Canis lupus familiaris: one gene and its partners. The protein of the gene in region 1 purifies or fractionates together with the protein of each later gene. This does not show direct contact. Links are inferred from orthologs where the notes say so. Each region holds a gene or a part of one and is shown in the gene's direction. Other genes may lie near its edges.

Region 1 (4,116 bases):
CAGTCCAGTCACACTTAAAAGGCTCAATAGCCACAAGTGGCCTGATGACTAATATATTGGACAGTGAGGTCCTAGACTGTGAGCTATCTGAAAGCAAGTTATCTCTGTCTCCAGGGCCTCCAGAATAGGAATGCAGTGAATATTTTTGTAAGGTATACCAGAAACATAAAAGGGGTTCTCTAAACTTTTGCATGCTGATACTTTTATGTTTTTTCGACCACTTTCCTTTAAACTTCCTTTTCAGTCTTGGAAAAAGTGGAACGGGGGAGATTATGCTCTTTCCAGCCTATCAAACAAATGAATACCGGGCTTCCTGACTCCCAGAAGGCCTGAATCATCTTAAATGTTGACTCATGAGCCTAAGGTGACTGAAATGTAATGTGAATCAAATTTGCCTTCCAAGGCATCATTATGTTTCCACTTTCCTCCTCTTTCTCTCTCTCTCTTTGGGTGACTCATCCTTCTACCACGTACGAGTCCAGCAGCAGGCAGATCCCCAAACCCTCCTGGATGAGCAGACTTTGAAATGGGCCCAGTCCTCCAGACGGTCCAAGCCCTGCTCTGTTTTGCCTACCTCATCCAGAGTCTGCAGTTTGGACAGAGAACGACCTTAAAGCTCTCCAAAAAAAATGAAAATAAAAAAAAAAAATAAATTTTTTTTCTTTTTAAGGTGGTGAAAGTAGTAGTAACGAGGTGGTCCAGTCATTTAAGCTTTAAAAAAATAATCTTTTAATTTCAAAATCTTTTAATATTTAGCGTACACTCAAATCCTTAGGGCCTACACTTCATAGTACCTTTCAACCACTCTGGGTTTTTTCCTTTCCTGGGAGGAAAGTTACCACCCCCAATCCCCCAGGATAACGCCCTTCCGGGGGCGCGGGCCAGGAACCCGCAAGTCCTGCGGCAGGTCGCCCGCCCCCGCGCAAGCCCACGCGGCACCCGAGCCGCCCGCTGCCCTCGGGCTCTGGGCAAAGCCGCGACCCCCGCCCACCCCGCATCTGACCCAAGGTGCAGGGTGGGGCTCTCAGCTCCAAGCCCCGCCCACCGGACTCACCCCAGCCGGTAGGAGAGGGGAAGTCCAAATGGCCCCACCCACTTTTCTCTTTCCGTCTCTCCATTGGGCCGGATGGTTGCCCGTCATCTCTATCCCGTAGGCGATTGGCTCCCTCCCTCCCGCGCCAGTCCCTGCCTCTCCCCGCGCGGGGAGGGTAAGTCACGCCAAACGGGGCGGAGAATCGGCTGGCCTCTCTCCTTCGCTCGCCTGGGCGGTGGCGGCAACTGGGGACGGGGCGGGTGGCGCATCACGGGCGCAGAGGCAGGAGGAGCAGTCTCATTGTTCCGGGAGCCGTCGCCACTGCAGGTCTCCGGGCTCTCTCGGCCCGGCCCCTGTCAGTCCTCCCCAACCCCCACAACCGCCCGCGGCCCCGGGGAGCAGCGTCCCGTGGAGACGAGCCGCTGCAGCAGCATCTCCGACCCGCCGGCCATGGAAGACATGGACCAGTCGCCTCTGGTCTCCTCGTCCTCGGACAGCCCGCCCCGGCCTCAGCCCCCGTTCAAGTACCAGTTCGTGAGGGACCCCGAGGACGAGGAGGAAGACGAGGAGGAGGAAGACGAGGAGGACGAGGACGAGGACTTGGAGGAGCTGGAGGTGCTGGAGAGGAAGCCCGCCGCCGGGCTGTCCGCGGCCCCGGTGCCCCCCGCCGCCGCCGCCGTCCCCGGCGCGCCCCTGCTGGACTTCGGCAGTGACTTCGTGCCCCCCGCGCCCCGCGGGCCGCTGCCGACCGCGCCCCCCGCCGCCCCGGAGCGGCCGCCGTCTTGGGACCCGAGCCCCACGTCGCCCGCGGGGCCCGCGCCCTCCCTGCCCTCCGCTGCCGCAGCCTCGCCCTCCAAGCTCCCCGAGGACGATGAGCCTCCGGCCCGGCCTCCCCCTCCTCCCCCGGCCGGCGTGAGCCCCCAGGCCGAGCCCGCGTGGACGCCCCCGGCCCCGGCCCCCGCCGCGCCCCCCTCCACGCCGGCCGCGCCCAAGCGCAGAGGCTCCTCAGGCTCAGTGGGTGAGTGCCGCGCCCTCCGCCCCGCGCAGCCCCGCGCTCCCCTCCGTCTTTTGTGTGCACCCCCCGCTGCCTCGGGCGGAGCCCCCTTCCCCGCCCCGAGGGGCTTTGTCCGTGGACCTCCGGGCGAAGGCGCCCCCCCTGGCAGGAGCCGTCAGGAGCAGGGTGGGGCGGCCGCGGAAACCCGGGCTTGTTCTTTATTGTCTGTCTCGGAGTCGGGGAGCACGTGCACCCCGCCTGCTCCCGGCCTCCTCCCTCTGGTCCCTATCCTGCTGCGTCCCGGAAGTTAGGCACCCGCCCGTACCGGGAGCTCGGTTGGCCTCGAGGAGCTAGCGTTGTGGATACGGGGGGCTGGCCGGGCTCCCGGGTGAGGATGGAAAGGCCTTGGCGCCCGTAATCTTTTGTCTGCCAGTCTGGGTTGCTCCCAGGGAAAAGGCGCAGTTCTGCGGCTGGTCCGTCTGGCAGCCGTGAGCCCTGCGCTGCACCCCCACCCCCGCTCACCTTCTCCCTGGCCTGGGTGTCACCCCCCACCCCCACCCCCCCGCAGCGCCTCATTCCCCTCCCTCTCCACTCGCGCTGGCGGGGAGCTGGCCCAGTGGAAAACATGCACCCTGACCCAGCCGCCGCGACGGGAGAGCGCCTCCAGTGGTGTGGCGCGTGCGGATTTGGGAAGGCGAGAGTTCTGGCAAAGTCCTGCCACCGCCCAGTCTCCTCGGGCTGTGATGTGGCGACTCCCCAGCTAAACCGCGCCGGGGAAGTGGGATCTGAGCATCCGCGGTCCGAGGAGGCGCAGTTCTCCCACCGGGTCCTGGCTGCTGAGCCAGAGGATTTGCTGCCAGGGTGGTTTGGGCTCTTGAATCGGAGAGGAAAAGAGGCAAAATGGTTGACATTCTTAGGGAAGGGAAACCTGTGGGGTTTGTTTGTTTGTTTTCCTTTTTTCTTTTTTTTTTTTTTCTTTTTTTTCTTTTTGGCCGCGAATAGGCCAATTGACTTTGTGGCGGATTAGCCAGCCAGGAGACTTAATGTTTTGAGAAAGATTATTTTTTTTTCACGTAGCGGTTAGAGATACTCTTTCTTAGTAGTTACATGTTTTAGGTCAAATCTGCAATAGTAGTCTGTAAACAGTTTCCAAATTTTTTTTTTTTTATTCGCTTTAGTACTTGCATGTATGTATATATTTAAAGGAACATTGTTTCCTTACCCTTTTCCTTTTTGGGAAGTTGTTTATTTTGGAAGAGAATAAAATCAAATTTGTTAGAGATGGAGAATCTTACAAGTTATGAGTTTATTAGCTTAAGTCTTGTTATTTTGGGGGGCAGAAAGTGTCCTACCAGCAAGCAGTAGGACCTCTTTTTATGTATAAAAGAGCAAGAATCTGGTAGTGTGACTGCCTGCTGAGAGATCTTTATAGCTTTCCTTGTAGGATTTTACAAATGGTTCATTTTCCAGGAGAAAATGAAATTTTTTTCAGTTCATTCCTCCACAATGGGGAAGTAAGCCAATTGTGATGTTTCTGAATAACGTTTTGATAATGACATACCCCAAAGCGTTACTCAAAACACTTTACACAAGTAACTCAAAACACGTTACACAAAATCATTACACTAAAGATATTAGAAGATGAAGAGCAACTCAGTGTTTCATTTTCTGAATTAAGTGTGTAAGAGAAACTAAGGTGAGGTAGAAAAATAAAAAGTGATAAATCTGCAAATGGAAAATCTAATGATTAACAAAGGAATACTGATTTGTCTCATCTTGTATTCCAGCATGGGGACAAAGAGGAATTCTGATCTTTGAACATTAGGGATTCAGGAGGTGACATTCTCTTGGAATTTTGACTTGTGGAATACTAAGTTTGGAAGACAAAGGAGAGAATATTGCTTACTCAGGGACTCTTATCTCTATAAAGTTCCCTAATTCTGTATTGATGATAGCTATTTGGAAACCTAAGTGCTTTAGTAAATCACTGAACATCCATGATTATAGTCATGGATAGTTAAGCCATCTCTGTGAGTCTCGGGTTCTTAGCAGTTTGTTCATTCATTCAATTGATGATTGATTGATTACC
Region 2 (3,646 bases), on another chromosome or scaffold:
AGGTGCCAGACACAGTTGGGACCTTCCCTCCCCTCACTTTGAACTGGCAGATGTTGAAACATTTTATACTCCGCTTGGTTGAACAAGTCTGTCTAGCTGACTGTTTTCTTCTTCATGGTCTTGTGAACAGATATTGCCAGTGAATTCAAAGAGCAGCTTCAAACCCTGATACCATTTGTATTAAACCCAGCTAACTTAATGGAGAAGGAGATCAATGGCTCCAAAGTCACCTGTCGGGGGCTACTAGAGTATTTTAAGGTAAATATGGATTTTAATTGTCAGAATATTTGACTTTTGGTAAAACTGATCTAGGTTGTAAACTAACTTGAATTTTACTATTTTAAAGCTTAGGGATGATTTTCATGGGGGAGATATTGAGAGGCATTTTCAGAGCCTTCAGTGTCCTTCCAGGAGTGGGCCACTGGGTGGCAGTATCGGTCTAAGAACCAAATGGATGTTCTTTGCACTTTCTTAGAGGAGTAATTACTGTGGCTAAAGGAAGATTGTTCCTCAAGGAAGATGGTGTGGACAGGAGGTGGTTAGGAAGTTGCTGTGAGTAGGAGGAGACGGCACCTAGATGTGACACGACTACCTCAAGGCGGATGGTCACTGTGCCCACAGGTAGTGGTGAGGCCAGTGTGCATGGGGAATCTGGTGGGACTCCTAGCCTTGGTAGTCTCGTGCTGCTTGAGAACATATTTAGTTAACTAAAAATGCTAACATGCACTCAAAGGTGTGTTGTGTTTTTGCTAATTCCTGGGTGTTGATCTAGGTCTTTAGGAAAATGCAGTTGTATATTACTTTCTGTAACTTAAAGTATGATTAAATGTGACAGAATCACATTTTTCATGAGTGTTTTTGTTTCTATTATAAGGCATATATTAAAATTTATCAAGGAGAAGATCTGCCTCATCCCAAATCCATGCTTCAGGTAAGCAATTCTTTGACATCCTAAATGATACTGTTTGATTACTTGCTGACCCATGCACAAGCAGCAGCATCCTTTAAGAAGGGAATGCAGGGTACCTGAGTGGCTCAGTCAGGCATCTGACCCTTGATTTTGGCTTAGGTCATGATCTCATGGTCCTGAGATTGATCCCCTAGTAGGGCTCTGCACTCAGCGGGGTGGTCTACTTGAGAATTCTCCCTCTCCCTCTTCCTCTGCCCCTCCCCCCACTCATGCACACGCTCTCTCTCTCTCTCTCAAAAAAAAAATAGATTAATCTTTAAAAAAGAAAAAAAAAAGGAGAATGCTGTTGCTCTCCCTGCCTGTTAATGCTGAAGTGTGTTAATTTTTAGTACATTTTTCACCATTGTTACTGCCTTCTGGGTGTTAAATACAGAGTTAAAGCAGAAGGGCTCCTCACTGGGACTATATCCCACCAAACATACTGTGGATAGAACAGGCCCAGTTATATATATATATATATTTTTTTTTTTTAATTTTTGTTTATTTATTCATGAGAGACAGGCACAAGCAGAGGGAGAAGTAGGCTCCATGTAGGGAGCCTGACATGGGACTTGATCCAGGGTCTCCAGGATCACACCCTGGGCTGAAGATGGCGCTAAACTGCTGAGCCACCCGGGCTTCCCCAGGCCCAGTTATCTTAAGCAAATTATTTCCCTGTTATCTGCTGTCTACTTTAGTAGAACATGTCCTGACATACTTATTTACTACTTACTGGTCAGGTTTTTTATTTTCAATGACTTTTATTTTCAACATTTTGCTATTTTCAAGATGTCATTTTGATAAAACATAATTTCTGACTTTCTTTTTTTTTTTAAAGATTGTATTTATTTATTCATGAGATACACAGAGGGGGGTGCGGGGCAGAGACATAGGCAGAGGGAGAAGCAGGTTCCACACAGGGAACTTGACATGGGATTTGATCATGGGTCTCCAGGATCATGCTCTGGGCTGAAGGCGGCGCTAAACCGCTGAGTCATCCAGGCTGCCCAATTTCTGACTTTTATGTGCAAAACATAAAGCCGTTTACTGCCAGATATTTATTTCTTTAGTAGCAAAGCATTTTCACAAAGGAAGCTAGAGTTTAAAATGCATATAAAATGTTTTCTCTTTTTTTTGACCCATGTCTATTTCTTAACACTTAAAATTATTTTTTTTTCAACACTTAAAATTAAAGCAAAGGGAATGATACTTCCAGAGATTTAATTTATAATAAAGACTTATGTATCAGAACTTTTTTTTTTTTTTTTGGGCAGAAAATTTGGCGAAAAAGGAATATTTTATCTCATACATTGGGCTATATGGAAACCTAAAAAATGGCAGAAGGATCCTAAAAAAGGAAGAATGGGAGTAGGGTGAGAGGGAATTGGCACTTGGTTATTTGTGGAAGAATGTTAAAGAGAAGGGATTCAGAGTTTATGCTTTCTTTTCTTATTATAAGGCCACCGCTGAAGCTAACAATTTAGCAGCTGCAGCCTCCGCCAAAGACATTTATTACAACAACATGGAAGAGGTATGCCAGGCGTGTGTTTTATTCTGATGTAGCTATAATGTGGGCCTGTGGCTTACGGCAGAAGCCCAGACTGACCTTGTTTAATGAATCTGAAGATGACGAGACAACAAAACTGTGTTCAGCCCCCCCTGGTAATTGGGGTCTTCTGGTTCTTTCCGTTGCTAAGTAAGGCTTTCTTCCAATGCAGTTAATGCCACCCTCCTTATTTCGGTGCACTTTTCAGAGGAAGTAAACTCAGACTTTATTGGTCTTGGTCATCATTTTAAAGTTAATTTCTAATATCTTAAATATTTGGACTTTTTCAGTGTTTTCACTTGTTTTATTGGGCACTTGTTTTCAAAGAGATCTTCAGTATGTTATGTCTTTATTCTTTTTAGGTTTGTGGGGGAGAGAAACCTTATTTGTCCCCAGACATTCTAGAGGAGAAGCACGGTGAATTCAAACAGCTTGCTCTGGACCATTTTAAGAAGACCAAGAAGATGGGTGGGAAGGATTTTAGCCTTCGTTACCAGCAGGAACTAGAGGAGGAGATCAAGGAGCTCTATGAGAACTTCTGCAAGCACAATGGCAGCAAGAATGTCTTCAGCACCTTCCGAACCCCTGCAGTGCTTTTTACAGGCATTGTGATCTTGTACATAGCCTCAGGCCTCACTGGCTTTGTTGGTCTTGAGATTGTGGCCCAGCTGTTCAATTGTATGGTTGGACTGCTGTTAATAGCACTTCTTACTTGGGGATACATCAGGTATTCTGGTCAATATCGTGAGCTGGGTGGAGCAATTGATTCTGGTGCAGCGTATGTACTAGAGCAGGTAAGTGGTGTCAGATGACAAGGCTACAGGTTGATAGGACAGATATCTGTGTTTTTATTGTAGAATATTTCCATTTGCAAGAGTTTCATGGTGAAAGAAGGCATAAGAAGTTTCCCCTGGTCATTTTTTGTTTTTTGATAGGCATTACGTTGTATCCTCCTCCTTTAGGATATTGATATTTATTCCTAATATTATGTTTCCATGCCTAAAAACTTCCCTCTAATGTGAAAAGTTCCAACTTAGATATACTGTGTTACTCATGGGAAACTTCTAACCACATGCTCTTCAGATACAATTCCTGTATGATTCAGGAGCTTTGAGATTTTTCTGTTTTGAGTTCTGCTAATGGATGGCATC
Region 3 (3,646 bases), about 33 Mb from region 1:
CTTCAAACTTACAGTAAAGTTGCAATCACGTATGAAGAACTCTTGTATACTTTTTACCCAGATGGACCCGGTGTTAACATTCACTATATTTGCTTTATGGTGTGTGTGTGTGTGTGTGTGTGTATCTTTTAACTATTTGAGAATAAGTTACAGCTACGATGCCCCTTTGCCCTTAAATACTTTAGTGTGTATCTCCTAAGAACAAGGACATTCTGTTGCCTAATTACAGAGCAGTGATCAAATCAAGAAAGTAACATTGAGGGGCGCCTGGGTGGCTCAGCGATTGAGCGTCTGCCTTTGGCTCAGGGCGTGATCCCGGAGTCCTGGGATCAAGTCCCACATCAGGCTTCCTGCGTAGAGTCTGCTTCTCTCTCTACCTATGTGTCTGCCTCTCTCTCTGTGTCTCTCATGAATAAATAAATAAAATAAAATAAAAAAGAAAGTAACATTGATGCAATGTTCTTATCTAATCCATGGGCCTTAATTCAGATTTCACCAGTTGTCTCACTGTTGCCTTTTATAGGGGCACCTGGCTGGCTCAGTCGGTTGAGCATCCAACTCTCGATTTTGGCTCAGGTCACGGTCTCGGGGTCGTGAGACTGAGCCCCCAAGGGTCAGGCTCCTTGCTCAGCAGGGAATCTGCTGGAGATTATCTCCCTCTCCTTCTGCCCCTTGCCTGGTGCCCTCTTTCTCTGTCTCTCAAATATTAAATAAATCTTAAAAATATATATATATTGCCCTTTCTAACTATTTTATTTCTGGCCCAGGATTTAATCCAGAGCCACACATCACATTCCGGTGCTGTCTCTTTGGCCTCTCTATTGGTTTCCCAGGACTATAAAAGTCACCACAAACAAGCATAAAACAGCAGACATTATTCTCTCACAGTTCTGGAGGCCAGAAGTCTGAAATTAATGTGTTGGCAGGGCCATGCTCTCTGAAGTCTCGGGGAGGGTCCTTCTTGCCTCTTCCTGCTTCTGGTGGCTGTCAACAATTTTTAGCTTCCTTGGCTTGTGGCCACTCACTCCAGTCTTTGTCTCTGTCTTCATGTAGCCTCTGAGTCTTCTTTCTCTTATAGGACATTTGTCATGGGGCTTAGGGCCTGCCAGGATAATTCCAGGTGATCTCCTCTGAAGATTCTTGGTTTGGTTGCATCTTTATAAAGACCCTTTTTCCAAGCAAGGTCACATTCCCAGGATCTGGGTGGATATATCTTTTGGGAGCCACCACTCAACCAACCACAGCTTCCTTTAATCTGGACCAGTTCTCTGATCTTACTTTGTTTCTTGTGCCATTGACATTTTTGAGGAGTCTTGGCCAGTTATCCTGGAGAATGGGCCTCCCTGTTTCCTCAAGGTTAGAAGCAGATGAAAAGATCCTATTTCACAGATGGAGAAACAGCTCAGAGAGGCTAAGTGATTTGCCAAAGGACAAACACAGCTAGAAAGGACAAGTGACCAGTTGTCTTCCTTTGCAAGGGTGTTCTCTTCCAATATCCTGAGCAGTGAGCTATCTGGCCATGGGAGTCGGGTTTTCTGTTTTTTAAAAATCTAAACTGGAGCCTGGATGGCACAGTTGGTTGAGAATCCAACTCTTGGTTTCAGCTCAGATCAAGATCTTGGGGTTGTGGGATCGAGCCTGCGTGGGGCTCCATGCTCAGCACAGAGTCTCCTTGGAATTTTCTCTCCTCCCACTCCGCCCCTCCACCCCATACTCCCGTTCTCTCTCACTCTCTAGAATGAATAAATAATCTTTGGGGGAAAAAAAAGTCTACTTAAAAAAAATTAAAAATAAAACTCTAAGCCACCTCTTAGGGTCTTTGTGAGGTTGAGATGTGGGGGGCAGGGGGCTGACAAGGAGGAGCCTCTCAAGGTCACACAGCAGGGTGAGTGTGGGCCAGATGTTTAAGAGTGTTATTGGGGAAGCAAGTAGACTCAGGTTCAAACTGCAGCTCTCAGGACACCTGGGTGGCTCATCCGGATAAGCATCTGCCTTCAGCTCAGGTCATGATCCCAAGGTCCTGGGATCGAGTCCTGAGTCGGGCTGCTTGCTCAGTGGAAAGTCTACTTCTCTGCCCCTCCCCTGGCTCGTGCTCTCTCGCTCACTCATTCTCTCTCAAATAAATAAATAAAATCTTAAAAAAAAAAAATTGCAGCTCCCCACCTGCCAGCTGTGTGACTGTGGGCAAGTTGCTGAAGCTTTCTGAGCTGTTGCTCATCTGTAAAGTGGTGATGACAACCCTCTGAAGGTTTCATGAGATTAGCCCCTGCGTGGGGCTCATCATGGTGCTGAGTGGCAGACTCTCCGAGTTTCAGGGGACCTTGCAGATCACATGGTCTAGATCAGTTCAGAGAGGGAAGGGACTTACCCAGGATCACACAGCCAACAAGGAACAGAGCTCCCCACTGCCCAGTTCACTGCCTCAACTGTCCCTCGCTTCTGAAGGCAGAACTCCAGGGCTCAGGAGTTTGTCTAAATCGAGCTGGCACTTGACATCACTTAACAGGACCAGGGAAATTGACTAAAAGGGGGGAAGGAGAGAGGGAGCACAGATACACAGTGCTCAAGACTAAGCACAATTACTTGTGAACTTCACTCTGAGCTTCCCGGCAGCCAAAGTGAAAAGGGTTACATGCTCAGTTAGTTATGTAGCTTTCTTTGTCCTGGTTCCTCTGGGAAATAGAGCTTTTCCAGTGACTTAGGAATACAGTGATAGGTTTCATGTGCCTGATTTTTGTGACTTCTCCCAGCCGGCACCGAAATGGATGCTGGGGTTGGTTCCCTGGATGAAGATGGTGAGGAGAGGGTGCTCCTGGCAGAGGGGATAGCGTGACCAGGGGCCTGGAGGTGTGAACCGACTGGTGTGTTCGCCGGAAAGGCAGGTGGCAGGCTGCTCCCCGTGCCGACACTGACCTCATGGGTCTGTCCCTGTCATTTCAGTTGGGCCACGTGGTCCTCTCCCCAGTCTGGTTCCTCTATAACCTGCTCATGAAGCTGTTCCAGCGCTCGACCCCGGCCATCACCCTTGAGAGCCCGGACATCAAGTACCCACTGCGGCTCATCGACAAGGAGGTGAGTGCCGGACACCGTGGGGCCTGCAGGGTCTGGGCCCATGGGGGTTCCTCCCCCTCCCTCCCTGGCTGCATCACAGTATTTCCTGTCACCTACTGTGTGCTCAAGGCATGGGCCCCCCTCTGATGTAGGTCGTGTTGTCTGTCTACCTTACAGATGGGGAAATTGAAGCGATGTCCCTTTCTAAGGTTCCCAGTAAGCGGCCACAGGGTCTCGAGCCCAGATCTCTGACCACAGAGCCTGTTCTCCAAACCACGCTCTATCCCACAGAAGGCCAGAACAAGAGAGATCCCTCAGGACTTTTGGGTTGAAACACCCATTTAACAGATGGGAAAACAGAGGGCAAGAGAGTACCAGGGGAGCATTGGACATCACACTGTGGGTTAGGGGTGGAACCAAGACTCAGACCTACCCCCACCTTGATCCCGGGTGTTTCCCATCCCAGCACCTTTTCTTCAAGCTAGTGACTCGTCCCCACCGCCACAGTCATCTACTCAGAGCCAGGTGTTTGTTGGACCCAGGTATCTTCCACATCTCTCCTGCCGCCCTTCTGGAAGGCCTATTCCTGCCCTCC

Evidence for each region. The genes of interacting proteins can lie anywhere in the genome.
Region 2: the proteins of RTN4 (region 1) and ATL3 purify together in Homo sapiens (affinity purification with mass spectrometry; 4 studies listed by BioGRID and IntAct, counting the BioPlex papers as one, with this or other methods). This does not show direct contact. The link is inferred for Canis lupus familiaris from reciprocal best matches to the Homo sapiens genes RTN4 and ATL3.
Region 3: the proteins of RTN4 (region 1) and CYB5R3 purify together in Homo sapiens (affinity purification with mass spectrometry; 3 studies listed by BioGRID and IntAct, counting the BioPlex papers as one, with this or other methods). This does not show direct contact. The link is inferred for Canis lupus familiaris from reciprocal best matches to the Homo sapiens genes RTN4 and CYB5R3.

Annotation. Positions count from the first base shown.
Region 1 is NC_049231.1:57,225,253-57,229,368, reverse strand, and holds the start of RTN4 (reticulon-4), read left to right. Parts: upstream 1-1,223; 5' UTR 1,224-1,483; coding exon 1,484-2,051; intron 2,052-4,116. UniProt on the Homo sapiens protein: Required to induce the formation and stabilization of endoplasmic reticulum (ER) tubules. They regulate membrane morphogenesis in the ER by promoting tubular ER production.
Region 2 is NC_049239.1:53,863,846-53,867,491, forward strand, and holds part of ATL3 (atlastin-3), read left to right. Parts: intron 1-130; coding exon 131-258; intron 259-874; coding exon 875-931; intron 932-2,408; coding exon 2,409-2,480; intron 2,481-2,857; coding exon 2,858-3,289; intron 3,290-3,646. UniProt on the Homo sapiens protein: Atlastin-3 (ATL3) is a membrane-anchored GTPase that mediates the GTP-dependent fusion of endoplasmic reticulum (ER) membranes, maintaining the continuous ER network. It facilitates the formation of three-way junctions where ER tubules intersect.
Region 3 is NC_049231.1:23,783,910-23,787,555, forward strand, and holds part of CYB5R3 (NADH-cytochrome b5 reductase 3), read left to right. Parts: intron 1-2,940; coding exon 2,941-3,072; intron 3,073-3,646. UniProt on the Homo sapiens protein: Catalyzes the reduction of two molecules of cytochrome b5 using NADH as the electron donor.